Notamacropus eugenii: one gene and its partners. The protein of the gene in region 3 binds, or shares a complex with, the protein of the main gene of each other region. Links are inferred from orthologs where the notes say so. Each region holds a gene or a part of one and is shown on either strand. Other genes may lie near its edges.

Region 1 (6,849 bases), on a different chromosome or scaffold from region 3:
GTACAATAGGCTTAATGTTTCGGGAAAGGACAGGACAGAATAGGACAGGACAGAATAGGAGGAAGTGAAGGGAAGGGAAGGGAAGGGAAGGGAGGGGAAGGGGCTAGTAAAATAAGTTAACTGGATATCTTTTGGCTATCCAAAGGGGCCATGCCCTAACTATTTCTTAAACAGGTCTATTCAATGAATGGGTATTGCCTCACCCTAAGTGAATACCTGCAAAGACCTTGGCCTAAAGGGCCCAAGGTCTCCCAGTGCATCCTGGGTCATCTCCAGTCATCCTGATGAATATCTGGTCACTGGATTCAGATGGCTCTGGAGGAGAAGTGAGGCTGGTGACCTGCACAGCCCTCCCTCACTGAAAACAAAGTCAAGTGTAAGTCATGTTATCATTTCTCTGATGGCATGGTCTTCTTTGGCGATGAAGGATGAACACGATTAAAACCTTAAACCTTAAAACGTTCAAATATGTAGTCAATTTAAGGTCCTCTTAATACAGTGCTGAATATATACTACTAGGCCTTCTATAAATGCTTGCAGAAGTGATTGAGGAGTATATTTAAATTTCATTCAATAGAAAGGAATTGCACTGTCATTTCAATTCAGTTGAAGGAAATTTGGTTGTACCTATTTACTTATTAGGTTTTATAGTACCTCTTCTCCAGATAACTCAAGTATCGACAAATAATTTTAACAATGTTTTAAAGTACCATATACAAATACGGGGATCTGTCCTCAGGTATCCCTGTACCTGTTGAATTTTTAGTCTCCTCCTCAAGTTGCTTATCTTTCTTTGTCCTACTCTCCCAACCTCCCCAGTTATCTTAAGGTCACAGAATTGTTGAAATTGTTGTTGATTCTTCCTTCTTTAAGAGAACCAATGACACCATGAAGGTGATGTCTTGACTTACTCATGGACTGTATTTGAGGCAGGGCTGTAGTCCTTAGCCTTGCTTTCTCCTTCAAAGTCATTGGAGTCCAGTGACAAGACAAAAGTCAAGACAATGATAAGGGCAATGGCCCTTAAGATCACAGATTTAGAGCTGGAAGGGACCTCAGAGTTCGTTGAGTCCAAACCCCTCATTTTGCAAATAAGGAAATGAGACCGGAGAGATTCAGTGACTTTACACACAGCTAGTGAATGTCTGAGGGACAGCTAGATAGCACAGTGGCTGGGCTGGGAATCAGGAAGATTCATCTTCTTGAGTTCAAATCTGGCCTCAGCCACCTACTACCTGTGTGACCCTGGGCAAGTCATTTAACTCTGTTTGCCTCAGTTCCTCATTTGTAAAATGAGCTAGAGAAGTAAATGGAAAACCACTCCAATATCTTTGCCAAGAAAACCTCAAATGGGATCATGAAGAGTAAGACAACTCAACCACAAAGTAAGAATTTGAGACAGGATTCACACTCAGGTCTTCCTGACTAACCCAACACCTAAAACTGATTTAACCTCACTGGGATAAGAATCCTAGATGTATTGTCTACCAAATGATCTTTAAACTTGTTATACACTCTGAATCTGTGGTGTGTTGTGGAAAGCAATGAACTTGGATCCCAATCCTAGCTCTTTTTATTACTTTGTGACCCTGGGAAAGTCACTTAACCTCTTCATGGTTTCATTTTCCTCACCTCATTGCACCAGATCTCTTAAGGTTCCTTCCACTTCTGAGTGCTATGGTCATGAAGTGGATAAAAATGTTGTTCTGGATAATTTGCTACCCTGATTAGCTGAGATCAGAACACAATAAAACACGCTCAACTATTCCTAGATGACAGATAGGACTCCTCCTTTTAGGGAGTTCTGCTTCTACGTGGTGCAGCCTTGTGATGAGTGAGGTAGGTAGTGACTCAGGGGAGGCATCTGGAGAGTGATAAGAGTGAAGTGGCTTGGTAACCTGAGTCTAGTACAAAACCTTAAGTTCATAACCTTCATTTCTCCTCTTTCTTTCTGTGTTTTCCCCTTCAGAGCCCACATTTCGTGATTTTTTTCCTTTTAAGACTGCTCTTGCTGATTCATTTGAACTTGGTATCATTTCTACAAAAATGTCATTTCAGCCTTGCCCAGTGCCAAATAGGATCCTTCCCCCAATTCCTTAGATATGCTAACTGTATGATTCATAGGCACACATAATGATGATTAATAATATGGTATCATTGCATAGAATTATGAAGAAAAATTTGAGTTTGCTGGCTTTCTGGTGATTTCCATTCTGGATCCATGGGGGCTGTGACTTCTCAGTTTGGGGTACAAGGGAAGAGTCAGGCTGTTGTGCTTCTACCCTCGCCACTGTTTCTGTCTTCGGAGAATCTAGGATTTTTACTTAACGTCACTGCTGTCTTAAATAAAGGTAAATAGCGTACAGCTGTAGAGGATTTAAACCGCAACCTGGTAAGAACGCCGGTGCAGGAGGCAGTACGCGATGACAACACACACGCATGAAGTGCCTGCTGTGGGCCAGCTAAGCGCAGGAATGCGAGGACAGAGAGAAGACCCCCTGCTGTCCAGATCCCGGCCAGCCTCGCACAAACAAGCTGCGTGATGAAGGGGCATCAGGGAGAGACTTGTTGTATAAGGCAAGAATGGCGAGGGGCTGAATTCCGGCCAACGTTCCACTCCCGGGAGATGGAGCGCATTGTTTGAGGGCGCCGCAGCGCCCGTGCCCCTGAATCGCAGTGTTTGGGGTACTTCTTGGGGGGTGGAAAGGGGGGTGGTGGAGAGCTCTGAATGCCAAAGCATCTTAGAAGCACTCGCTGTGCGCCACGCACGGTGCGACCTGGACGAATTACAGAACAACCCGGCAAAGACCCCCCTTACAATAAGAGGAGACACGTGGGGAGAGGGCTCCAGGGAGGCGCACTTGGGGCGACCCAGTCCTGCCATGTTGAGCAGTTCTCGAACTGCGGCTGGGGAAGGAGTCGGGGTTGCTCACGAACTGAAATGATTTGGGGTGTAAATCCTGGAAATACTCCAGTCGGTCAAGGCGGATACCAAGTGTCAATCTACCGTTTCTACAACAGGACTTCGGCAGCGTCGGATAACCGAGTCGGGACAAGCACGCACGTGCCCACCAAGAGGCCCCTCCCCCCATTTAAAAATGACGCGTGCATAAGCGCACAGAACCCCGCACCCCGTTCCCTTCGCCGGAGCCGCGGGCGGCAGAGGCTTTCAGGCGCGAACGCCGGAGGGCTGGCTTCCCGAGCAGCGCGACCCGGCGGCTGCGGCCGAGAAGCGGCAGGAGGAGCTCGTCCCAGGTGTCCCTCGGCTCGGGGAGTGATGACTCCGCAGATCGAAACTTAAGCCAGCGCCCGGCTCGCTGGGACAGGAGAGTCACGTGACCCGTTCATCCCCGGCCTACCCCAAGGCCGGAGCTAACCGGGCTTGAAGTGAGCGCCACTTCTGAAATTCCGCCGAGCTGAGAGGGCGCGCCCCTGGGGAGGGAAGAACGGGCGGCCGGTCCGAGACTCGCGAGCTGCTCGATTGAAGCTCCCGCCTTTCCCTTCGGCCGGTTTAATCGGGTTTTTTTGGTTTTTTTTTAACTCTTATCTTTCCAAAGTCAGAGACACGAAAAGAAACTTCCGCCTGGGTCACGGCGGAGGCAAAACCACGTGACCCCGGCACGAGAGGCGATTGGGAGTGGGGGGGGCGGGAGTAAGTCGGTCCATTTCCCAGCTCCGCAGCCTGGCGGGGAGGGCCTCACCTTCGCACCGTGAGAGTCCCTTTGGCAGTCTCGCGCGCCCCCACGCGTGCGTGCGCCCGGCCGCTCTCGCGTTGTCTCGCGCCGCCTACCCCCCCCTCCTTACTCCTCCTTCCCCTCCCACTCCGCTCCTTCCCTCCTCCCCCTTCCCTCCCCTCCCCTTCCTCCTGCCCCTGTCTCTCGACGGTGGTGGCTCGCGCAGCTCGTTGGCTCACTATATAAAGGAGAGAAGCGGGCGGAGAAGACGGCTGGTGGCTGCAGCCCGTGCGGCGGCGGCGGTAGCGGCAGCGCGGGGGGCGGCGACCGGTGGCGGTTTCGCTCCTTTGCCCCGGGCGGGGGGCGGGGAACGCTCCCCGGGACCCCCGAAGGGTCACAATTTTTTTAAGGGCGATTCTCGAGGATCTCAGCTCCCGGAGGACTCCCTCCCCCCCTCACCGCCCCCCCCTTCCCCCTACTCCACCTTCGGGACTCGGTTTCGTTTTTCTTTTTTTTTTTTTTTTAAATCTCGGTGATCTGGTTACAGTCGGGGTCTCTTTTCTTTTTGTTTTTATTTCTTTTTTTAAATTTTTTTTGTTGTTGTGTTGTGTGTGGAAATGGCGAACTCGGCAAATACAAACCCCGTGGTAAGGATGTGACTCGGTGACCGGCGGCGGCGGCGGGGGCGGGCGCGGGCTGGGGGCCCGGGGCCCGGGCCCGGGAGCCGGAGCCGGGATCAACTCTTTTCCCCCTTCCCCGCCCCCACCCTCAGCCTCCTCTCGCTGTCGCCGCCGCCGCCACCTCTTCCCGCCGAAGGGGAGACCTGGGCCGAGGGCGGGGGGAGGGGGGTGGGGTGGAGGCCAGAACGGGGGGCTCATGGAGGGGGGTGCAGGAGGAGGGGGGAGAAGCGGGGGAGACGAGGGTCCAAGCGGAGGGCTCTCAGCCGCGCTTTCAGGGTGTCAGGAGGGCTCTCCCCAGGTTAGTCTCCACTCGGGCGAAAGAAGAGGCTGAAAACTTGAGAAAGGGGAGGGGACGGGGCAGAGACCCTCTCCTTCCGCCCCCTTCCCCCCAGAAAACCGCCCTAAGATGGTCTCGGTGGAAGCGGAGTTGGTTTTGTTTGGGGGGGAGGAGTTTAGAGAGGAGCTGGATCCTGCGGGGCAGCCGACAGCTATGGCCGCGTCTCGGACGGGGAGACGGAGTCCCCGAAGCCCGCGCTGGCCCCATGGAGGGGGAGAAATCCGGGGCTCGGGAAGAAGATTAATCTTCCAGACCCCGCCCCGATCCAGTGTGCTGGGGGTGGGGGAGGTTTCTTTTCTTTATTTTTTTCTTTTTTCTTTCCTTTTTTTTTTTAACGAGGATGCCTTGGACTAGCGCGAAGTGTGAGGCGACCCTTGAGTTTTGTGGTGGTTGATTTCTTTGGAGCTGGATGGGGCCATTTTACGTTGGAAAAAGAAGGTTGAAAAGCACTTGTCCCATCTCCTTTAGAATCGTTAAAATGGCGAAGGGGAAACAAAATCCCGTCATACCTTCGACTAGCAAGAGGAAAAAAATGACATTGACCAAGGCACCCCTCCGCCTGAAATGCCGCCTCGTCTCCCCCACCCGTCCCCGGGTCCTTTTATTTTTTTTGTTACTTGCAGTCACATAGGTTTGCAAAAAGCAGTCACATAAATAACCTTTGCAGTCACCAGTGCCATGTGATCCTCGATCCACCCGACTCTCCTTTATTATAAGACTAATAACAATAAAAAATGCCATCCCCCTCCCCAAATGCGGCCAGCAAACCCTCTGTGCCCAGGACCGTACCGTGGAGACTCGGCCCCTTGTTTGCCACTCTCAGAGAGAGATCGATCCATCATGGCTGCTGCAGCTTCCCCTGCTTTTGAGTCCCTGCTCCTTGTGGTCCTCCTCCCTTTGGCTGCCCTGTTTATATAGAGCCATTGCGCTCTCTAATATAGACTCTGCCAGGATGGGAAGGTGCTTTTCAGCCCTACGTCACCGGCTCTCCATTTAAACCCCAGATCAGGCTTTAAATAGTGAGAGCTGCGGAGCGCGAGGCTGGGAGGTGCATGCTCCGCGTGAGGGAGGATTCGTGCTCGCCTGCTTGGTTCTGGGTGGCCTCTTCTGGCACTTGAGTTGTGCAGCTCTGGGGTCCAGCTCTGCCTTGCTCGTCGACGCCGGCTCCTGCTGCAGGCACTTGCTCTGGCTGCTTTTTGAACGAGGAGGCTGTGGTCTTCTCTGGACGGCTTTGGGGTATTTTTTTCAAGAAGGAAAAAAAATGAGGCCTTCCTTCCTAGTACCCCAAGTTTTTCCAAAGTATTTGGAAGTGGAAAATAAGCCACATTTGTTGTAACTTATACGGAAAATATAGGACAAGCTGTCCAGGGTTGAGGTTTTTTTTTCCAAGCATTTTTTGCTTACAGATGACTTCAAAACATATTTAGAAAAACCTGTTTATTGAAAATTTTAAAATTGTAAAAACGTCAAAATCATACTTGTGAAATGTGGAATACTATAGTAAATGTTAAATGTAATTTCCCTTCCATGCTTTTTCTTCAGGGAAAATAGTATTTTCATTGTGAATGAAGAGGTGCTTTGGAGTGCAAACACTGTATTTAAAAAAAAAAGGTAGCAGGCTAACAGAATGCTGAATTGATAGATATTAACATTATCCTTGTTACACAAGCAATTTCTATTTTTTTTTGCATTGTGTTTGTATATAGGGTACTAAGTGTGTAGATATGGAATTACAGAACCTGTCATCACCACTACCCTTAGATGTACATGGACCACATAGGTATTTGTTGCTATATGTAATAGATGAGTGTACCAACAACTGTGTATATAGAATTTTTGTCAAGTAGAACCAATTATTCCTATTAGGGGAACTGATTAAGAGGAGCTCTGTAATAATAGTTGATGATTACATGGCTACATGTATTATTTCATTTGATCCTTATGACAGTTCTGTCAGGAAGTATAAATATTTATACTGTTTTATTGATGAGGTAACTGAAGTTCAACGTTGCATTACTAACAGGAGTTGGATGGATTCCGGGCTTGGGAACTGGATTTGGAGACAAGATGATGTTTTTTCAAATCACATCTTTGCTACTTAGTATAACTACAACTAAGCCCTGTCTTCATCACTTAAAAAAGATAGTTGGACCACATA
Region 2 (7,309 bases), on a different chromosome or scaffold from region 3:
AACTTGGGTACTGACTGTGTGAGCAAAGGGAAGAGTGGCTTTAGTCTCCTTTTGTATCCCAGGAGTTTGGTTTTTATTACGTGTTTCCTGACTGACTGAGAGATTCAGCCAAAAGATGTTGTAGAAAAAGAAACAAGATTTGGAAACTGTCCCAGTCTGTGGGGACAGTGAGAATGTATGAGGACTGAGAATGATGACGAGATTGTGAACGTAGGTGATGCAACAGGGAAGTCCAGAAGAAGGGCAGCTTTGAGTGGAAAGACAGTGAGTTGTTTTGGACACATTAAAGTCAGAGATGCCTAGATATAGCCAGTTCAAAACATCCAACAGGCAGTTGGTAGGATGCAGGATGCGAAATCAGGAGAAAGACCAGGATTAGATCCAGGTCCAGTATATAGGACCAGTATACTGGTCCTGGACCAGTACATCTCCAGGAGTCATCTGTGCAGGGACAATAAGACAACACAGTCTTATGTTGAGAAGGCATAAAGAAACACATGAGAAGGCATAAAGAAAAAAGAGAAAAGGAACTGGGACAGAGTCCTGGAGGGCATCCCCACAGTGCCTGTCTGGTACACATGAGCCTATTTAGGTACATGTTGTCTCCATTAAATGTAAGCTCCTAGCAGACAGTGACCAGTTTCCCTTTTTCTCCATACATCCTGCACTTAGCACAGTCCTTGGAACATCAAAATGTTAATTAGTGCTTGATGACTGAGTGATTCTACTCCTTCCCCTTTCCCAAGTCTTCCTTCCCCAGAATGACAGGAAGATTCAATTGCCTGTTCTTTGACCTCACAGCCCTTTCCCCTCTCTGCCACACTATGGGTACTTTCTCCCCCTCTTGATTTCACTAAGATGACCTTCCCTAAGATGATCTCCCCACCATCACATGTGCATACATCAATATTCCTCTACTCCTGTTCCAATCCCACACCCCCCAGTTCTCTCCTGGGCCTTGCAATGACTACATTCTCCTCTGTTCCCCATCTTCACCTCACTGAACCAGTTCACCTCTCTGCTGTCCCCTCTCCCCCTTCCCTTGCCCCCTTGTCCTGTCTCCAATCTTGCCCTGAAAAGCCCCAGCTTTGATCTGCTGTCACCACTGGCTGCCTGCACTCCTGCTCATGTGATGCTGAATAAAGCTGGAGAAAAACCACAAAACCAAAATAACTGGATCCAGTACAAACATGTTACATAACTCATCTGGGCCCTCACTGCAGCAAAGCAATCCTTTTACACTCATTCAGAGAGATCCCTCTTCCCCCTGTCTCATCATTCAGATCTTTTTCCCTCTCTCTTCTCCTTCACCCAGTTCACAGAAGTGGCAAGAGACCCCATTCCATCCTAACCGCCCCCTTGCCACCCTCACTTTTTCAGCCCTCTTCAATCTCTCCCTACCGGCTATGCCCACGTCTCCCCCATCCTCATGGATCCTGCCCGGTTGGTCTTTTCAGCAGGTCTCCAATGTGTCCCCATCCCCTTGTACCTGGACTCTGGGGGGGGGGGGTCATCCTGCCCCAGTCCCTCCCCACTCCCGCTCATCCTCCATTCAGTCCCCAGACTAATTTCCCTAAAGCAAGTCCGACCACGTCACCCCTCCCCCCCACTTCAGGGGCCCCCGAAGCCGACTCCGCTCCCAGGCCCCTCCCCGAGCCCTCCCTCGGCTGGCCCGTCCCCGTCGGGAGCCCGCCCGGCATTAGATCGCGGGGCACAGAGCCGGCACACGGTAAGCGCCCAAGTAGCTGCTCGGATACTCCCCGGAAACGGAAGATGGGGAAGAGTCCGGTCTCTTCAGGGGAGGGGCGAGAGGGTTCAAGGAGGAGTCGGGGGGCGGGGTCTCCTGTTGGTCGGGGAGGAGGGAGTCTCCTCAGGCTGAAGAGAAATGTGGGGAAGGGGCCTCTTCAGTGACGCACGGCTGGGGGCGGGGCCTCCCCGGGGGGAGCCTCACCTCGGTCAAACTTCTTGCCCTCGGGGTCGATGTCCTTCACATCGAAAATGTCCTCGAACAGGATGCCGGCCATGGCTGGCCGCGGGAAGCGACGGGGGCCAAAGCACCGCAAGCTCGAGGCCGGCGCGAGAGCCGCGCAAGATCAGGGACCGCGCGTGCGCAGAAACGCGGCACGCGAGCTAGGGGCGGGCGTCTACACGCAGTTCCGCTTCCGCTCCTCCTCTTCACCGTTTCCCGTTCCACCCCCTCTCGCCTCGGGCCGCTGGCCTTGTCGCGACGCCGTTCGGAGAATGCGCACTTGGCCAAGGGGGTGGGACCCGGCTCAGCGCCTGGCTCTCCGGGCACTGACTCCGCCCCTGCCCCCCACGTCCTGACAATTGCTCGAGCTTCCTCTCCGCATCCCGCCTCCCCACACAGTCCCTAGTACAGGCCATGAATCTAGCTGTGTGTCCCCGAGCCGGAGACCTTGAAAACCTGGACGGCGGCGGGTGGAGGATAGAGCTGTCCCCGCCCCTCGACCCCGGTAACGCCCCTCCAGGTCCCAGAGAGCAAAGGACGGACGCGGGTCCTGCCCACAGTACCGCCCCCCAAGCCCTCTAAGGCCTATAAGGACGCTGGGCCGGTTTCCCCGCCTCCTAGACCCTGCCCCTCCCCCCAAGCTCGTGCAGGCCTTATGAAGATGCCGAAAGAGAGCTCTTCCTGCCTCCTCTCCCGCCCTCTGGGTCTGGCTCCGCCCCGAATTCGTTCGGACCTATAAGAGCGCAGAATAACCCGTCGTCCCGCCCAAGGCCCCGCCTCCCATCTCAGCTCCACCCCTGGCCGCGACCTTGATCGGGCGGCTCAGAGTCCAGTGCCAGCCCCGCCTGTCCACAGGTCGCCCCCGGGCTTCGGTCCCCGACTAGGGCCGGGCCTGGGGGCTGGTGCGGACCTCGCCCCGCTCCTTCTTCTCCTCCTCCTCCTCCTCCTCGGTCGGGGCCGGGGGAGGTGAGCACGGCCGGTCCTCGAGGTGACTACCTCCCCCGGGCGACCGCAGCCGAGGTCCTGGGGCGTGGCCCCGCCCTCCTGGGGATCTGCAGTGAGATCATCGGGTGGTAGCCCTGCCCCTTTCCCCGGAGCAGCCCACCCTGGCACTGTCAGCCCGGCACAGTCTATTTCTGGCACTGCCCACGCTACCTGTCTCTGGTGCTGCACACACCTGGCACTTGCCCACCCCACTCCACCCCCGCTCCATCCCTGGGCACTCTTCCCTTGGCTGACAATCCCTCTCCCCACTGCCTGCTCCTGCCCCCTCACCTGTCCTAGCAGCCTCCTCCCCCACCCGCATTGACTCCCATGCTCTGGAACTCGCTGCCACTTCCATTCTTTCCCTACTGGGCTAGCACGTCAGCAGCTCCTCAGGTTTCGGGCCTGGGGCCCTGCCAGGAAAAGGCGATCTCTGCCCCCCCACACCCCTGCCTAGTTAGGGCCAGTCTCAGGGGAGTGGCCTCTACAACTCCCTCCTAGGTTCTCTCCTTTTTCTATCTTCCCCATCTTCTTCCCTAGTCTTCCCCATCCCCATCATTACAACCTGGCCAGTCATAGCCAGGCCCAGCTCTCACCAGATACAGCACCCAAGAGAGGCACACAGACATAAAGAGAAAAGGGAACCATGCCACTACCACCACCACCACCACCACCACCCCCAAGGAATTCAGTTCCTAATATCCTTGCTATCCATGTCACTTCCAAGGATGAGTCCATTCTCATTCTGGTTCCAGGAAGATGCCCTCCTCCAAATCACTCAGTTTTTTTCTTCTTACCTCTAGCTGATCAAGCCTTCTCCCATTGAGAAATCAATTCAACAAATTCTTGTTAAGTGGTCCATACATACAAAAATTACAGGAATATTTAGACATAACAGACAAAAATGAAATAGTCCCTTACCTTCAGGTACTTGGATCCTACAAAGAGATGCAAAATGCCCAATAAAATACATCAAAGCAAAGGAGAGACTCCAGAGTACTCTAGGATATTTTCTGGATGGAGCTAATACTTTTGCCTGGAGAGTTTAAGGAAGACCGACAGAGGTGGCACCTGGGCTAAGCCTTGAGGGAACAGAAGGAGTCTAAGGAACAGATAGAAGGAGGGAGTAAATTCCAGGCAGGGCTGCTCCCTTGGTCACTGCACTGAGGCAGGGATATTAATTTCAGGGAACTAATAATCTAACTTGGTTGAATAAATGAATAAATTTTTTAAAAGCCCTTATCAATCACTCCCTTTGTGCCAGGAACACAAAGGAAAGGTAGAGTAATGTGAAATAAACTTGGAAAGGTAGATCAAAAGAAGCAGATTGGGGAAAACCTTAAATCCTAAGCTGAGAAATTTGAAATTCCTAGCCAAGGGATCCACTTAAAAGTTCTAGAATAGGAGAATCATATTCAAGTCTGTGCAGGTCTGATTTGGGACCCCATAAAGAATGGATAGAAAAGAGGAGAGACTAGAGGCAGGAAGGCCAGTACACTCCAGGTAAGAGGTAAAGAGAACATGAATGAACAAAGGGATCTTGGATTAAAAAGAGAGGAGCTTCGGGCTTGGAAAAAAAGTTGACATCTAGAGAGTGTTTCTCAGTTATTGTAGCCCTAAAATGACCCTGACCTCTTAGACTCTCCTTAAGGGCAGGGACTCTCACTAGCATGTGGTAAATGTTTAATCATTGTTGGTTAACTGATTGATTACACCCTCATCCCTTCAGTTTCTACCTACAGAATGATGCTGGGGCAAGATGACTGGAGTTAGAGTCAGAAGACCTAAGTTTGAAAAGACAAGTCACCAACCTGCAAAATGAGCTGGGGTGGACTGGTGTTTCCAACTAGGATTCTAGGATCTAGGATCCAGGAGGAGCCGCTAGCTCCTTCTGTCCCTACTTCAGATTCCCTCCTCAGTGCCCTCACCAGAAATCCTGATTGTCCCTAAATGAAACTTCAAGAACTTTCCCCTAAGTCCCTAGTTCTGGAGTGATGAGGCTGGAATAGACTGTGAGGGAAGACAAAACGAATAAGGAAAGAAGAGAGCCCAACCTTGGTGGGAGACCAGGTGACACAATTCAAAGCTTGTTGCCCCGTCAAAGACCCAAATACAATTCTCGCTCCCTGATGTAGCTAGCACTCTATGGCTCCGCCACATTGGCCGGTGACCCGTTGGCTTGGGCTGGTATCCCTCTCCCAGGATCACCGATTTCGCTCTAACGGTTATCTCAAAATCACAGGGTCATAGATCTTAGAGTTGGGAGGATCTTAGACGTCCTCCGTACAACGCTTTCATTTTAGAGCTCTGGAAACTGAGGTTTGGTAACTTTTCCAAGGTCACACAAAGCTGGACGGAAACCCACGTCCCCTGCGTCGGTTCTTCCAGTCTGGGGGCGGGACAGCAGAGCTCGGCAAGGCCTTGGAGGGGAGGGATTAGCTCCCAAGTGGGAAGGGCCAAGAGAGCTGAGGGGGAGCTGTCCCAGGGAGAGATCTCAGATTGTGGGGCGCTCCCCCAACCCTGCGGGACCCCCCAGAAGAGCCTGGGGCGGGGGGTGGGGGGCGCAGTCCCTCCCGCGGCCTGAGCCGCCCCCTCCGGGAGGAGCAGCACTGCCCAGCCCAGCTCAGCTCCTCGGGAACCGCCCCTGGCCCGCCCGGGAGGGGAGGAGACGGGAGGGAAGTGGGGGAGACCACACCGGGCTCGGGCGGCACTCGGGAGCCTGCGGGGACAGGGCTCGAGCTGAGTAGGCAGTAGTGCCGGGAGGGAGGAGAACCCAGGCTTGGACCACTGAGCCTGAGCTGTCTGGAGTTGGAGCCCCAGGCCAGGCTGTCCTACGTGGAGGAGATGGCGGCGGCCGCAGAGGAAGGGATGGAGCCCCGGGCTCTCCAGTATGAGCAGACCTTGGTGAGTGGAGACCCCTCGTAGCCAGTCCTGGATCTCTCTCCACCCGCCGCTGGGGCTGCAGCTTGGGGTAGGGGGCGGGCGGGGGGGCGGTTCTGGCCGGGCCTTAGTGATTACCGTATATGCCTCTTTCCCCTGTCCCCCTCACCGCCCCCCCCACACACACACACATACAAAGGAGCAGGAATGAGAGATCTACCTATGTGGGGAAACTGAGGCAGGTATGGGATGAATAACTGAATTGTCAGAAGAGGTTAAGATGTGAATGGAGGAGCTAGGAGTACTAGACAAAGACTCCAGGTCAGCAAGATTGTCCCCACCCTTTCCCTTACCCCTTCTACCTCTCCCCTGGGCACAGAGCAGAGCCCTAGCACCACCCACCGCCAAGTTCCTTGACCTTCCTCTTCTCTGTTGCTCCTTTCTCTCCGGCTCCATCTAGTACCTCCACTGGCCACTTTCCCCATTCTTGTTGAACTCTTGATCAGCCCAGAGTTGGGCTCAGACAGAGTTGGGGGTGGTGGGGCATCTCTTCTAGTTTGGGATGGTCCAGTTCAGCCTGAAGCCAGACCCTGGGTGGTAGGGTGGAATGCAGGCCCAGCTCCAGTCCTGGACCTTGTGTCCTCTGACCCCATTAGGGGGCCTGATGACTGGGGCTCTGAGCTGGGATGACTCACTGGGCTGATCTCCACTATACTTTGGCATTCCAGCTTCCATTTATCTCTTGCCAGCACCCACGGGGAGGGCAGCCAGGGTAAGGGGGTTCTCCCCAGGTTAGAATCCAGCAGCTGGGATGGAACCTCAGCCACGGGGAAAAGCAGAGGAGTGAGTGGAAGAACTCCAGGCAGCATGGACCAGCACTGAGATCAGAGACTGCCAGAGGATAGTTTGTCTAGAGACAGTAAATGAGGGAGGGGCTGGTCAGCAGGCTAATGGGTGGGAGGGAGCTCAGGAACAGGAACAGCTGAGGAAGAGGAACAAAGGGAAGGTGAAGGGAGTGAGACTAGATGAAGATGAGAAAAAGGGGGAGAGACCAGAGATGTGCTGGGGCTGGGGGAGACGTCAGGTACTTTTCGCTGGAAAAACCCAACGTGCACATGGGACGATCTCTCAGGGGGAAAAGATCCCTGCGCTGTCAGCACTGAGAGGCTCCTATCTGAAGGGGCCTGTCTGTCTCCCCCGACCCCTTTCCCCATCTCTTTGTACAGATCAGCCTTCAGTCCTGAAGCCTTCTTCTCTCACCTTTTCCATCTTTTGCTACGTGACGCTTATTCTGTCTTCTGGTTCCATTTGCCTTTTCTTTACGGCGACAAGTCTTTCCTTTTCTCTTTTTTCCCTCTCCCTCTTCTATACTTTCTCCCCCTTAACATTTTTTATTTTATTTCCTTCCCCTTTGTCTTCCATTCTTCCTTCCTTTCTCCTTTCTCCTTCCCCTTTCCTTCTCCCTTTTGATTTCCC
Region 3 (6,867 bases):
AACAAGGGAAATAATAGCATTGTTCAAGAAAAACAGCATTAACGAGACATAAAATATCAAGAAAGCAAAGGAAGATTCAGAGACACAAACAGAAGGGTACAATGTACTGTATGCTTAAGAAAAAAACAAAGTTATACCTAAGTTTCAATTTCATATACAATTCTCTTTTTCTGTTTTTTTGTCTATAGAAATTATATTTGTTGATGGCTATACAAGTTCATAATAAAATCATTAAATTAGAAAAATAAGACAATTTGATCTTTATGGCAGAAAAAAAAAGGAAGAAGCCATGTACTCCAATGTAATTTTACAGATGAGGAACTGAGAGTCAGAAAAGTTAAAATTCTTGGCCAAGATCACACTGGTCTTAAGTTACTGATCTGCGCACAAATCCAGGCCCTTCCAAATTCAATGCTCCTTTTACTATACCACACAGTCCCTTGGGATCAAGCACAAATGCATAGTTTATTTGGCATCAAAGGCACTTCATCACCAGGATCCAGCTTGTCTATCCAAGTTTACAACATCCCTCCCCTTTGTGAACTCTTTGGTCTCTGGCTGTCCCTCACACAGGGCACTCCATCTCCCTGCCTCTGCACAAGCTGCTCTCTTCTCTCTCCCACCTTTGAGAATCCCTATTAGCTTCCTCAGAAGTTCATCTCAAGCACCACCAAAACCAAAGCAAAAGAAAGCCCTGAACTCTTATGTATTTTGTACATATGTGCACGTTGTCTCCTTCAATAGGATGTTGGCTCCTTGAAGACCAGGCCCAGTGCCTAGCAAGTAGTAGGCCTGACACATAGTAGGAGCTTAATGTTTGCTGGCTGAGTGACTCATAATGAAGTGACTTGGGATTTAGGAGCCCTGGGTTCATGTCTGTGCTCTTACACAGACCACTTGGATAACCTTGAGCAAATTACTTAAATTCTCTGGGCCTTAGTATCCTCATCTACGAAAACGTAATGATGAGACTTCCACTATCTCCCTGAACAGGTTGTAGTCAGAAAAGGACTTTCTAAACTTTAAAACACCACGTAAATTATTATCTTTACCCGGCAAGCGAGTTCTTATATTATTGTCTTTATTGCTATTTAATTTTATTCACTTTTTCATGTGCTGACGTGCGTCTCCAACTACACCACAAACTTCTTATAGACAGGGAACACAGATTCTTTATATCGATCACAATGCCTACCCTAGCAGGTATTCAATAATTATTTCTGGATTGATTCAACAGCTTTATGAAATTGTCTTTAAACATGACTAGAACTGGTAAGAAGAATTAGAGCACATTTTGAAAACATGCCAGGATTGAGAATCTGATCAATTCACAGAAAAATAGTTACTGCAGGTGTAATACAATATGAACAAATTAATAAATACATATCTCCTCCTTTGGCCACTCACAGGGTCCATTTGAAATGTGACAATAAGAATGACACTGTGATGAAAGAGGCCTAGAAGCCAGTGGCTTGGCACTTAAGAGGGTTCAAAGCGTGCCTCAGGTACACACTTTATGGATTAGGCTCCTATGAAGTCTGGTGGGGAAAATCAGCGGAGAGGGGCTACCCTCCCACTATCACATCTATCACAACCTGCTTACCCATCCAAGTAATGATCTCCCACCACTGTGCCTAAGCCTGAAGTGCCGTCCCTCCCCCTCTAAAGCTCAACTCCAACATCACCTCTTCCACGAAATGTACCCTGATCCATGCTCACCTTCTTCCTCTCCAACTCTAACCACTATTCTGTTCTGCCTCTGCACCATGTGATTAGCTAACCTCTCCAGGAAGCTTCATTACCTTCCTCCCTTCTACCCTTAAACAACTTCTCCTCTTTTCCTGTTCAATCACTTGTCAAGTCCAACTCTGTGACTCCATTGGGGTGTGCTCCAGCTCACTTTACAGAGGAGGCCCCTGAGGCCCACAGGGCGAAGGCAGCATCCGAACTCGGGCCCAGCGCTCTATCCGTCCTCGGTGGCCGGCAGAGAAGTGACCACATGGCCGGCTGGACTTCTCCGAGCGCAGTCTCCTCCGTCCAGACGCTCCGCTATCTTCCTCCTCCGTCCTGCTCTCTACGGCGCGCTTCTCCCTGAACTTCAGTCACCCTCTTCCTTGCCGTCCTAGACCCACACTTACTACAACCTGCGGATCGTGTCCGTGTACCAGGAGGGCACAAGCCTCATCCCCTCTGCCCTGCACACCCCGCCCCCCCCCGCGCTCACCAGGGGGTCGCCCCCGGGGCCCCAGACTGCGGCCCCTCCCACACGACCGCATGGGACGCGCCGGTTGGACCGGTGGATCTAACCATCACGCTAAGCCTGGGCTCCAAAGCAGACTCGGACACTTGCAGGCTGTTTGACACCCGCGCCCTCCCCGGACTCCCCGCCACGCCGGGTCACTTGGCCGCTCGGTGCCTCAGTTTCCTCCTCTGTTAAATGAAGGAGCGGGACTTCCAGCTCTACACGGATAACCTCACGTTCTGCTCTTACTTTTCTGGGTGCATGTTATGTTTCCCCCAAGTCCAGCCTCCCAGTCTTTGCGTTCCCAACCTCACCCCCTACCCCAAGTGCTGAGTGGAGTGAAACACTGTGACAGTAACTGTCCCGCAATCCACGCTGGGACTACCCCCTGGAGCTTGGGGGAGAAAGGCGGGACCCCCGGTGGGGGAGGGGGCGTCCTGGGGGGCTGGGCTCAGTCGGCCTTTACCTTCACCAGCCACACTCCAGTGTTTTGTTTGGCGCCGGTCAAGTCGAGCTCCCCGCGCTCGGCCATGACTCTGCGCCGACGCCGCCGCCGCCGGTGGAGGAGAAGGGGGCGCGGGTCCGAGGAAGGAAGTCAGGAGGTCTGGGGCCACCGGCGTCGCTCCAAAGCCGGGAAGCGGCTAGTTTGGGGGAGGGGAGCACGCCGCTCCGGAGACCGGGGAAGCCGCGCCTGCGCACTACGTCCGAACCCTACGGTGCCTCGTGGAGGACATACATCCTTCGTTCCGCTCAGGGAAGTGGGCGTGGCTTGTGAAGTATTTGGACAGGAGCGGGGAGCGGGGATGCCGGCTCCTACCGGGCTGTTCCGAGAAGAGGCGCAGTTGTAGATCTCTACGCTGTTGCTTAGTAGGGCCGGGCTCCCCAGAAGGATTACAGAATAAAGACTTGCTAAGGTGTGATGGACGAGCTGTAGATGGACCGGCAGCTGGGGAAGAGCCTGGGGAGAACGTTCGTCAGCTCCCAGAGGAGAGCTCAGGTGACTTCGCCAAGGTCATGCACAACATTTTTTGCATTCCTTACCAAAAGTCTTCCCATGGCTCCGAGCTCTCCAGGGTGCTGACCTTCCCCACACCCTCTCCCCAGATTTCTCTATTCCGTGACCCTCCTCTCCATAGTGATAAACATCTGTTATCACTCAGAACTGCTCCATCTCCGAGAAGCAGTGCAGTGAAACTCCCTCTTCTAGTCACTGCTATGAATGAGTGCCTGGACAGGCATAAAAGAAAATGCATTTATTAAGCGCTTATGGTGTGCCCAGTACCGTGCTAAGTCCAGGGGGATACCAAAACAGGAAGGAGATGGTTCCTGCCCCCAAGTACTTATTCTAGTAGAAGGAAGTTACTGTAAAGGGTGCTTTGATTTGGGAAGTCACTGGGATTGTGAATGATTGGCAAAAATGTTGATGGCATGTGGCACTTGATAAATGTTGACTGATTGATTGACACTACCTTTCCAGTGACAATTGATCCAGTTATGGTTCCAGCTAAGTCGGGGAGGGCTCATTATGCATCAGGGCAGATGGCAAGGCCCATGGATCTGGAGGGCCTCTCAGTAGACAGGGTGGATAATGGAAAATAAGCATGCTAGAATGTGAAATATTACTAAGTAAGGCTTGATGAAATGGGCCAGATGATACACGCAGCACGTGTATGCTACATGTATTCAGAGCAGAGGGAATTATTCTTTTGATAAGCTTTGCAGACTTTCCTGGGTTTGTACTTCTCCTACTCCCCACTTGTCGTGGTTCCCTATGTTTTTATCTCACACCCTCAAATACTTTGTATATAGCTTGTATTTACATATCTATGTACATATTGTCTCCTGCGGTAGAATATAAATAAGGCTTTGAAAACAGAGACTGTTTCCTTTTTTTATTTCCTATGCTTAGCACAATAAATGACACATATGATCCAGGAGAGGAGACTAGAAGGGTCCTCAGAAGCCATTCCAGCAAGCCCCCTTATTTTACATTTCAGGAAAATGAAACCCTGGAAGATTAAGTCACTTGCCTAAAGCCATACAGGTGGTAAGCACGAGAGGCTGGATTTGAACCCAGGCGCTCAGATGTCAAAACCAATTTTCTTTCCACTAAATCACACATTGCACTTAAGAAATCCTTGCTGAATTGAATTGAATTGACTGATGATTTTCAGGCCCTCTACCCTTTTCTTTTCTTCCAGTCCTTCATTCCTTCATTTCCTTTCTGACTTCATTTGTGTCTGGGACCCCATGGTCAGCAGTTGCAATGCTACCTTACCAATTCTGGGTAAAATGATACTATACTATACACTTTCTCTGTTATTGGTTCTGCACAGATGCTTTCTATTGTGTAAACTTGGATCAGTCCCTTAGCCATCTTGGACTTCACTTCTCTTATTGGTGAAATGAGAATTTTGGACTAGTTAGCCTTTGAGGTCCCTTGCAACTCCAGATTTATAATATTATATTATTCCTGGATGAAATCACAAATCCAGAACCACTGACTCCTGCATAAATTGACATTATTGTCACATTAGGTGGGCCTTGCTGAATGCCATGTACTTTTTTTCTATTTGATTCCATTTGAACGATCAAATTCCCTCCCACACCACTATTTTAAACCTTTTCCATTTTTCCTCAGATTGCTAGGTTCGCTTTCATCATAGCATCATAGATATGGAACTGGGAAGGACCATACAGGTCATTTAGTACAAACCCACATTTTACAGATGAGAAAAAGGGTCAGAGCCGGGACATGATTCACCCACAGTGGCACTGGTAGTAGAGCCGACCTGCTCTGACTCCAAATTCAGCAATCTTTCTACCAGAGTCAGGCAACAAGTATTTTTTTTAAAGTACTGAATATGTACCATTCACTTTGCTAAGCAATAGGGATAAAATGAAAGGCAAAAAATAGTCCTACATCCTCTGGGTGCTACATTCTGTGTTAATGACCTTAATGTCTACATTAAAGTGATACTTATTAAAGACAGGTACTACAGGTTGTTGCTATATACAGATACATAATACCAAAAAAAAATTTAGGACCAAGGATTTAGGTTATTGAGTCAAATATCAGTAAACAATCTCCACATAAGAATTTTTTTATTCCTTTGTCTTTCTCATTTATTTTTATTTTTTTGTTTCTGTTTTTTTCTTTTTTAAAATGTATTTTTAACTTAAATACTAAAACTTAAATACACAATAAGAAAAAGAAACATATTATAAACTTAAATATCAAAACAATACAATATAAGAAAAGAAAAGATGAATTGTCATGGGCACAGCAGAACATGAAAGGATTTGCAATACACAGCAATAAATTTCCGTTTCAAGACAGTCTATATAATAAATACTACACATTGTGTTCTGAGCTGTCCATCTTTGTGTCCTTTAAGTTTTCTTTTGTTCTCTGCTGTGCTCTCTTTACTTGTTCTTTCCCCTGCCCCACCCCCCTGCTTCCTTCTCTATCCCAGAAGGCTACAATTAAGTTCAGATATATATGCATAAGTATACATATAAAATACATACATGCATACATACATATACCCTTACATGCATACACTTGCTTATACTTACATATACTTAGATATCTATAATCATATTAATATATAGACATATACATTCATATGCATCTATGTAAGACTGTACTAGACTTATTTGTCCACTGTTTCTCTGAGAGTGGATAACCTCTTCTTTTATAAGTTCTTATTCATTTTTAAGGAAGACTAAAGGAAAAGTTGAGAAGAGCGATATGAGATGGATACGTATATACACGTAAAATCATTCTACATATACTTCTATTTGTCATTTTTTCCTCTGGATGCAGGCAGCATCTTTTATCATATGTCCTTTGTAGTTAATTTGGGTATTTATAAAAGTCAAAATGACTTATTTGCTCCAAGTTGTTCTTAAAACAATATTGCAGTTACTGTATATGTTGTTCTCTTGGTTTTGCTCATTTCATTCCTCATTATTTTATACATCTATCCATGTTTTTCTAAGACCATCCAGCTCATTATTTCTTATAGCACGGTAGTATTCCATCATATACCACAACTTGTTCAGTCATTCCGCAATTGACAGGCATTCCTGCAGTTTCAAATTCTTTGCCACCACAAAGAGAGCTGCTATATTTTAGAACATATAGATTCTTTTCCTTTTTCCCTGATCATCTTAAAACAGAACTAATAGGTGGTATTGCTGGATCAAGGAGTATACAAAATTTTACAACTCTGGGCATAAATACAGATTGCTCTCCAGGTTAGTTTACAGTACCACCAACATTGTATTGGTGTCCCAATTTTTTCATATTCCCTCCAACATTTGTCATTTTCCCTTCTATCATTTTAGCCAATCTGATAGATATGAGATATCTTAAAGTTATTTTCATTTGCATTTCTCTAATCAATAATGATTTAGAGCTGTTTTTCATATGACTATATTAGCTTTGATTTCTTCATATAAAAATTTCCTGTTCATATCCTTTGTCAGTTGGGGAATGACTCATATTCTTATAAATTTGACAGAGTTCTCTATATATTTGACATATGAGACCTTTATCCAAGAAACTGTCTATAAAAAACTTTCCCACAGTTTTCTGTTTTCTTTCTAATCTTGGCTGC
Region 4 (7,625 bases), on a different chromosome or scaffold from region 3:
GGATTTATCAACTGGGAACTTACTGGTGGCTCTGGGGAGAACAGTTTCAGTAGAGTGGTGAGGATTAAAGTTTTTGTTGAATGATGGGAACTAGACTGTAGTGGGTGCTGATGAGGATGTGTACACAGGAAGTATAAGCCTTTTTTCCGAGATGATCATCTAGAGCAACTACACCAAAAAAGCTAAAACTAGAAAGTGTGTAGGCACAGAGAAGCTCCTTTCATAATTTTCTCAATGTATTGCTGATCTCTCAACCTTTAAGAAAATATTGGGATCCTTTAACTGTCCAGCATTTTCTATTTCTCACCTCAGAAAGTTACTTGAATACTTTGAATTGAATAGTGTTCTTTGCTTCTGAGAAATAAGTTGAGTAAAGTATTTGCATAATCAAGATATCTGCATTAATATGTTACGTCTGTGCCACTTGTATCTTTTTTTTTTTTTTAAAGCTTCCATTCAAGGGCAAACAGTACAACTGAAAGACCACTAATCAAGAAGATGTGGGTTCAAATCCTACTTCTAATATTTACTAGCTGTGTACCCTTGGGCAAGTTAATTTCCTCTTTTGTAAAATGGGGTAGTAGCTGAAATGCCTGCCCTAACAGGCTGTTGTAAGAAGAGAACTTTTTAAAACTTAAAACTCTATTTAAGTTCATTTGATGAATTTTAAGGTATGATGAGCTTTTGTTTAGAACTTTTATCATATCTTCCAGAAGGTAGGCTAGCATATTCAATAGCATTTAAAACATCTACTGCCATTTAGGGATAACTAGATGCCACAGTGGATAGAGTGATGGGCCTGAAGTTGGGAAGACTCATCTTCTTGAGTTCAAATTCTGCCTCGGACACTTAGTAGCTGTGTGACCCTGAGCAAATCACTTAACTCAGTTTCCTCATCTGTAAAATGAGCTAGAGGAGGAAAATGACAAACCACTCCAGTATCTTTGCCAAGAAAATCCCAAATGGGAAGTAAGAGAAAGAAAACTGAAACAACTACTACTCCCATTTACAGAGAAGAGAATGAATAGCTATAGTGGTAGTGTTCTAGGGTAGTGACACCACTAGAAACATTCTAGTGCCAAACAATTAATCTCCACTGCTGTTTAAAAAACAAAGCCTGTATTTATCCTCAACCCATGAAACAATCACTAGTCTTTAAAAAGAGACCTAAAGAATATACAGGGAAGTGTCTATGCTCTTCAGAGAAAGGCACAATCCAAATTCAAGACTCTCAACATCCTGTAAAATGCATCAAGTTGATTAGAGAACATCCCCACATGTAATGTGAATTATGACTTACTGAATATATAATCAGGTCAATTACCCACGCATCAACATAAACTTGCAAGACACTCCAAAAAGAGGTATAAATAGCCCAAGTTAAAAAAAGACATCCAATTGTATCTTTTATTTCTCTATGTAAACTAACATCAGTCAATCATGAGGCTACTCTATTTTGCTTTGAACTACTTAATGTACACCAGTGTCCCCACAGTGCCTTGAACTTGGTGGTTGCTGTTAAGTGGAGAGAACTATAGAGCACAGTTCCTCAAAGAGTCAGAAGTTAGCAGAGGAGAAGGAAAAGTGTCAACTGGTAGTCCTACATCCTCTAAGAATGTGTGATTCTAAGTACCAAACCAGAGGGTAGAACATCTAAGTTCAATGGTGGTTCAAAGGAAAAGGAAAACCAAAAAGGCCTGGAATAATCAGGAAAAGCTTCACTGGGACTTAGAATCATAAAATCTCAAGGAGCAGGAGGTGGCCTTAGATTATCACTGAGTCAGATCATCTAATTTTATAAATGAGGAAACTAATGGGCTTCGTAGGAACAAAAAAAAGTAAGTGAGAAAATCAACACTCATAAGTGAAAAAGTACTAACCATTCTATAAGTACGCCTTTCAAGACATTCACCATTTTCTCCAAGTTACAAGTGTCAAATGCTGTCAATGATGTCAACAAAAGGGACGAAGTGAACTAAAATTTAAAAAAAAAATCAATCAATAATCAATTTTAACATTTCACTAAAAGAAACATAAGGATAATGAAAATGATGATATTACTACATAAACCCACAAAAGTCATTTTCAACACTTCTGATTCAAAGACGATAAAGCATATTTACAAAGAAAATATAGCTCAGTTGTCATCATTGACTTTCCCTTAAAATTTAACCTATCATCAAGTGTAATTTTGTTCACCAAATTGCACACATTAAATATATGGAATACAACAAAATTCTAAATACTCATTCTAGTAAAGGCTGGGACATAGTGAATAGGAAAAAAAATTAACTATTAGGGATAGTTGGGTATTCTAGCTTTTTAAAAAAAAATAATCCAGGACCACATCCAACCCAGTATTTGCTGGCACTTGGACGCCTACAGAAACCCGGGGATGAGGACCTGGATGTGTTTTAGGGTCCGAGCTTGGGACCGGTAATAGATAGACAGTCCAGGCCGAGATGCAATCAATCTAAGTCACAATAAAAGGGGATGGGGGAAGGGTTCACGGCAGCCTGAGAAGGCTGCTTGAAGTGAGACAACAAATGAAAAGCGTTGTTACGTAAAGGGCTTGACAAACCTTAAAGAGCTACGTAAAAATCGGCTCTTAGTAAATTACTATTATTATTCACATTCCCGGGTCCTGCTCTGGGCACCCAACACGCCGAGGACTCCAGATCCTCCGCGGGCTGGGGGAGGGGGGGCAAGGCCGTGCCTTCGCTCCGCAGCCCCTGAGGAAGGCAGCACGGCAGGGAGAGGAAGGGGTGGCTAACCCTGGGCCTAGCTATCCCTCGGCCACTCCAGGCGTACTCCTCTCACCTTCGAGTCCGGAAGCTACACCACCTACCAATCCCTAACAACAGCGACGCACCTCCGACCAGCCAGGTCCCAGCTGCAGCTCGCCGGAATTATCAGCGGAGTGCGCCTGCGCTGTAGGTTTCTGCGTCGGGTCGGTGAGGTTACGCAGAGGGGGCGGGGCTACACCCGTGGGAGGAACGGAGGGCGGGGTCACGTGCCCGCGCCAGTGGCAGAGGCTCTTGGGCGCCGGGGCCCGGGAGCGGATCGGGGTGGGTCTTTTCCCTTATCCTCCTCCTTTCCTTCCCCCCCCCCACCAGATCCAGTTCGGCTGTGGGCGGGAACGATCCGCCCGCAGCAGCCAGGTAGGTGGGAAGGAAGCGGGGGAGGGACGAGGAGTGCGTCAGTTGTGACTCCTCCGGGGGCTGGGGAGGCTCGGAGCCGGATACGTTGGGGCGGGATGGAGCGGAGCCACGGGAGCACCCCCGTTTGAGAAGCTGCGCGGGCCACCCTACTGCTTCTCTGAGGCTGACCCTGGCCTTGCCCGGCTGTGCCCGGCGCTGTCCTGCCTTGCCCTTAACCGACTGACTGCTTAGGCGGGGGGCGTGGCGTGCTCAGCTGGGCCCTGGCTCGTGAGTGCGCGTGCGCCTCTTCCTGCTTCCCTTTGCTTCCTTTGGAGGTGGGTGGTGGGTGCCTTCCCCTCTGCGTCTTCCGTCTGTACAGCTCCCTCTTACAGCCAGGCTTCTGGAAGACAGCTGTCTGCCCTGGCTGCACCAATGTTCTCGCCTCCCTCTCACTTCTTATTGCTGTGCAATTTGATGTCCTCCCTCACACTTTACTGCGATCCACCCTCTCTCTGTCTTATCTCTCTTTTCCTGTCCCTTGTCTGTCTCTCCCCCTTCTCTGTTTCCTGTCTTTCATCTCTCCTGTCTCTGTTCTCTCTCTCCTTTCTCTTCACCTTCCTGGGCTCTCTGTCTTTTGGCTGTCTGTTTATGATTGTCTTGTCTATCTCTCCCCTTCCACTCGCGTCCAGTCTGTCTCTGTTTTTTTCCCTTTCTTGCCTGTCTCTCCCTCCTCTGTCTCTCTCTGTCTCTTTCTCTATTTTCTCCATGTCTCTTTCTGTCTCCTCTTCCTCCGTTCCTCTGTCTTTCCCTCCCCTCTCTCGCTTGTCTGTCTCTTCTCTCTTTCTTTTCTTCCCCTTTCTTTTTCTATCTCCCTCCTTCTCTCTGTCTCTTTCTCAGTCTCTCTTTTTTCCCAGGTCATGAGTTATCTCTAATGCAAATATTTAAGCTGTGGTGACCCAAGGCAAGTCACTTAACCTGTCAGTCATTCACTAAACCGTCCCTACCGTGTGCCAGGCACTGTGCTAAAGGTTGGGGATGCACAGACAAATTTGAAACAGTCCCAGCCCTCAAAGAATGTATGTTTTAATGGAGGAGACATGTCCATATATAAGCATATACATATATGTTTGTATATATATATACACAAAATGAATAGAAGGGAAGGAAGTTTCTACCAGCTGGAAGGATCAGGAAAAGGCTTCATGGTTAAGGTAACATTTGAGTTGAGGTGAGGAGGGAGTTCATACGAGGTACAGAGGACAACTCACCTTTTTATTCGAAGCCACAAAGAAGGGAAATGAAGATGAAAGGTGGAACACCTTGTGTGCAGAACAGCAGGTAGGCCAGTATGTCTGGATAAGAGTGCAAGCAGGGGATTAACACATAAAAGATTGGAAGGACAGAAGGTTGTGAAGAGATATGAATGCCAGAGGAATTGATATTTGATCCTGGAGATAATAGGGAACTGCTGGAACTTATTGAGTAAGGGAATGTGGGGTGACATTGTCATACCTGTCCTTTAGAAAATTATTTTGATGGGTGTGTGGAGGAGAGATTGAATTAGGGAAAGATTTGAAGTAAGGATAACAAATTAGGTAAGAGGTGATAGGGAACTTGAATGGAGGGGTGGGAGTGGGGATGGAGGTGTGAAGGGAGAGAAGGAAGGATGTATAGGAGCCTTGCGGAGACAGAGGTGATAAGTTTTGGCTACTGATTTGGAGAGATGGGATAATTGAAAGTGAGTTGAAGATGACACTGTGGTCTTGAACCTAGGTGACTAGATGACTGGTTGTACCCTTAACAATAATAGGGCAGTTTGTAAGAGAGGTGGATTGAGAGAAAAAGAGAGAAAGAATGAATTTTGTTTTGGGTATGTTGAATTTGAGATGCCTATGGGCATTCAGTTTGAAATGTCTAGTGTGGTTGAATGGCACCTGCATAGAGATGGTAATGGAGCCCATGGGAGCTGATTAGGTCTTCCAGTGAAGGAGTGTGGAGAGAAAAGAAAAGCAGGTTCTGCACTGAGCCTAATAAATCAGAAAAGAAAGCTAAGAGGGGTCATTAAAAACTGAAATGATCCAAAACTTCTAAGGGTTGAAAAATCATTTGTTGGCCTAGATGAGTTATTGACTATTTAAAAAAAACAACCCTGAGAAACAGCTTTCAGCATTCATCTTTTTCCCATGAAGTGTGATTTTATTTGCCAGTAGTCTTTAGGGTCATTGGACAGCATTTATTGATTATAACTAAGGGCAGAGTACTGAACTAAGTGGTGTGGAGGGCTGGAGATGAAAACAACAGTGCAGTTAATATAATGCATGCCTTTCAGGACTTTACTGGTATCAAAGGGAGTCTGATGTCTATAGCCTTCTATTCTTTAACCATAGACTATTACAGAATTGTAGTCAACAGTGGAGCCACACCAGGGAAGCTTTTAGGGTAAGTTTTGTTTGGTAGGACATGTGAAATTTGGAGATAATTATTAAAAATGAACACATAAATATGTAGTATATACATATAATGATTTGTAAAGTACATTTATTCTTATTTTCTAGTATTTGTGAAACAGGAAGAAAGTAATTTTACCAGTCGTGTAGCAAGAAGTAAGTGACCTATGGTTATGGTGTTTTCTGCTTTATCTGTAATTGTGGTGTTTGGGTGTTTTTTCTCACAAAATCACTCTATCTTCTGATTTCTTTATTTTTATTATTGGTCCTACTATCTTCCCAGTCAACTTCAGAGTTCAGACCTCTTTGTTTCCTTTTTCTGTTCCGTTACTTAGTCCAGTACATTGCCAAATATTATTGATTGTTCACTTCTCCATTCCCTTTCTTCTTCTTCTTCCTTAATTATTGTGGTAGCCTTCTAATTGATTTGTGTCTCCAGGCTCTCTCGTCAGTCAATCAGTCAAATATTTATTAAGTGCCTGTGCTTTCTCTCCCAATCTGTCCTGCATACTCCTGCCAGGGAAATAATCCTATAAATATAACTGGAATCATATACTCTGCTCAGTTGATCAAAAAACTTAAATGACTACCCATTACATACTGAATAAAAGTCCAGTTCAGTCTGTCATTTAATATTTTCCATTTTTTAAATCCAGCTGCCTTTCTAATTTTTATCTTTTATTCTTCTTTCTGTATTTGGTGCACCAGTCAAACTGGCCTAGTCACTCTGTTTCTTGAACATGCCTCTTCCTTACTCCATCACTCTCCCTTTAATTATATTAAAGACTTTTTTGCCTGGAATATCTTCCTCTTCATCTTCATCTGTTCAAATCATACCCATACTTGAAGAGTCAAATCATTGCCATCTTCTTTATGAAGCATTTCCTGATCTTCCCAGGTGGGAAAATCACTTCCACTTCTCAACTCCCACAGTATTATATAACAAAATGTCATAGGAAAGGTACAAAAATTATCTTGTGAGCAATCTTATTGTGTATGGAGCTGGAACTACTGAGTTTTGAATCTCTTGTAGCTCCAAACATAGTACCTTGAAGCATTGGGTCAAGTGCTGAGTGCATGGTTTGTTAAACATATGTGTATCATGGACTTCCACCACTTTATTAATTTAATATTTTATAAAATTAGACCATTTTATCAATTTGCTCTATTAATGTTGAGTTTGTTTTATTTTTGAGAATATAGTTTTTTTTCTGGTATTGAAGCACTTTAAGTTGAAAAAAGGCTAAGGAAAGTTTTTCCAGAACTAGAAGAGAGATTAATTTTCTGTTTAAAAGATAATTTTGAAAAATCAATTCAAAGTGGTATTTCACTTTTTCCCTTTCTTATATATAATTAAACTCAAATAGTAAGCTGATCAGTTTTTTATTCCAATTACTCACATCTCTCTCCTTCCTTCTTCAGCAAGTTCAATACCTGGCTTACGATTTTTCTCCTTCCTAACTCCTCCCCTTATGCTAGGGGATTTCAGCACATGTACTGACTCACCCTCAAACACCCTAAGCACTCAGTTGCTCATACTACTAACTTCCCTTGACCTCACTCCTCCATCCTACCTTAGCTACACACAAAGATAACCGTTGGTCTTTCCATCATCTGCAGATGTACCACCTGCATGTTCAAGAATTCTGAAATCACCTTTTCTGACCATAATCTTTTGACTTTCCACCTCTCCCTTGGCCTTCCTTTTGTAAACCCTATTTTTCATCCACACCTTGGCCTCCAGTTCCTCAACCCTTAGTTCTCTCCTAGGTCATCTGTACTAGGCACTCTCTCCTCTTTTCCCCTTATTAAACCCTTGTTGAACCAGTTCAGCTCTGTGCTGTTCTCTTTTCTCAGGTTCCTGGTCTCCTTATATTGTCAGTGGTGCTCTGCCAACCAGTGCTTTTACTTCTGCTGAATGAAGATGGAGAACATTATGTAATCGTTCTAATGGGATCCTCTTCACATATATGTCACACAGCCTTAATTGGGCCCCCACTGCTGCTTGGCCTACCTCCCTTAGAGCTCACGTTGGGGA

Evidence for each region.
Region 1: GTF2F2 (region 3) and GTF2A1 share a complex: the UniProt entries of both Homo sapiens proteins name them as parts of the TBP-based Pol II pre-initiation complex. The link is inferred for Notamacropus eugenii from reciprocal best matches to the Homo sapiens genes GTF2F2 and GTF2A1.
Region 2: GTF2F2 (region 3) and POLR2H share a complex: the UniProt entries of both Homo sapiens proteins name them as parts of the TBP-based Pol II pre-initiation complex. The link is inferred for Notamacropus eugenii from reciprocal best matches to the Homo sapiens genes GTF2F2 and POLR2H.
Region 4: GTF2F2 (region 3) and GTF2H5 share a complex: the UniProt entries of both Homo sapiens proteins name them as parts of the TBP-based Pol II pre-initiation complex. The link is inferred for Notamacropus eugenii from reciprocal best matches to the Homo sapiens genes GTF2F2 and GTF2H5.

What each region holds. Positions count from the first base shown.
Region 1 is NC_092878.1:65,974,220-65,981,068, reverse strand, and holds the start of GTF2A1 (transcription initiation factor IIA subunit 1), read left to right. Parts: upstream 1-3,837; 5' UTR 3,838-4,291; coding exon 4,292-4,321; intron 4,322-4,962; exon of another isoform or gene 4,963-5,206; intron 5,207-5,480; exon of another isoform or gene 5,481-5,599; intron 5,600-6,849. UniProt on the Homo sapiens protein: TFIIA is a component of the transcription machinery of RNA polymerase II and plays an important role in transcriptional activation. TFIIA in a complex with TBP mediates transcriptional activity.
Region 2 is NC_092873.1:56,975,343-56,982,651, forward strand, and holds the start of POLR2H (DNA-directed RNA polymerases I, II, and III subunit RPABC3), read right to left. Parts: upstream 3,014-7,309; 5' UTR 2,025-3,013; coding exon 1,952-2,024; intron 1-1,951. Other genes in the region: CLCN2 (chloride channel protein 2), read left to right, coding at 5,798-5,857. UniProt on the Homo sapiens protein: DNA-dependent RNA polymerase catalyzes the transcription of DNA into RNA using the four ribonucleoside triphosphates as substrates.
Region 3 is NC_092877.1:295,657,807-295,664,673, reverse strand, and holds the start of GTF2F2 (general transcription factor IIF subunit 2), read right to left. Parts: upstream 3,021-6,867; 5' UTR 2,775-3,020; coding exon 2,709-2,774; intron 1-2,708. UniProt on the Homo sapiens protein: TFIIF is a general transcription initiation factor that binds to RNA polymerase II and helps to recruit it to the initiation complex in collaboration with TFIIB.
Region 4 is NC_092873.1:251,843,799-251,851,423, reverse strand, and holds the start of GTF2H5 (general transcription factor IIH subunit 5), read right to left. Parts: upstream 3,009-7,625; 5' UTR 2,873-3,008; exon of another isoform or gene 2,821-2,872; intron 1,976-2,820; 5' UTR 1,916-1,975; coding exon 1,881-1,915; intron 1-1,880. UniProt on the Homo sapiens protein: Component of the general transcription and DNA repair factor IIH (TFIIH) core complex, which is involved in general and transcription-coupled nucleotide excision repair (NER) of damaged DNA and, when complexed to CAK, in RNA transcription by RNA polymerase II.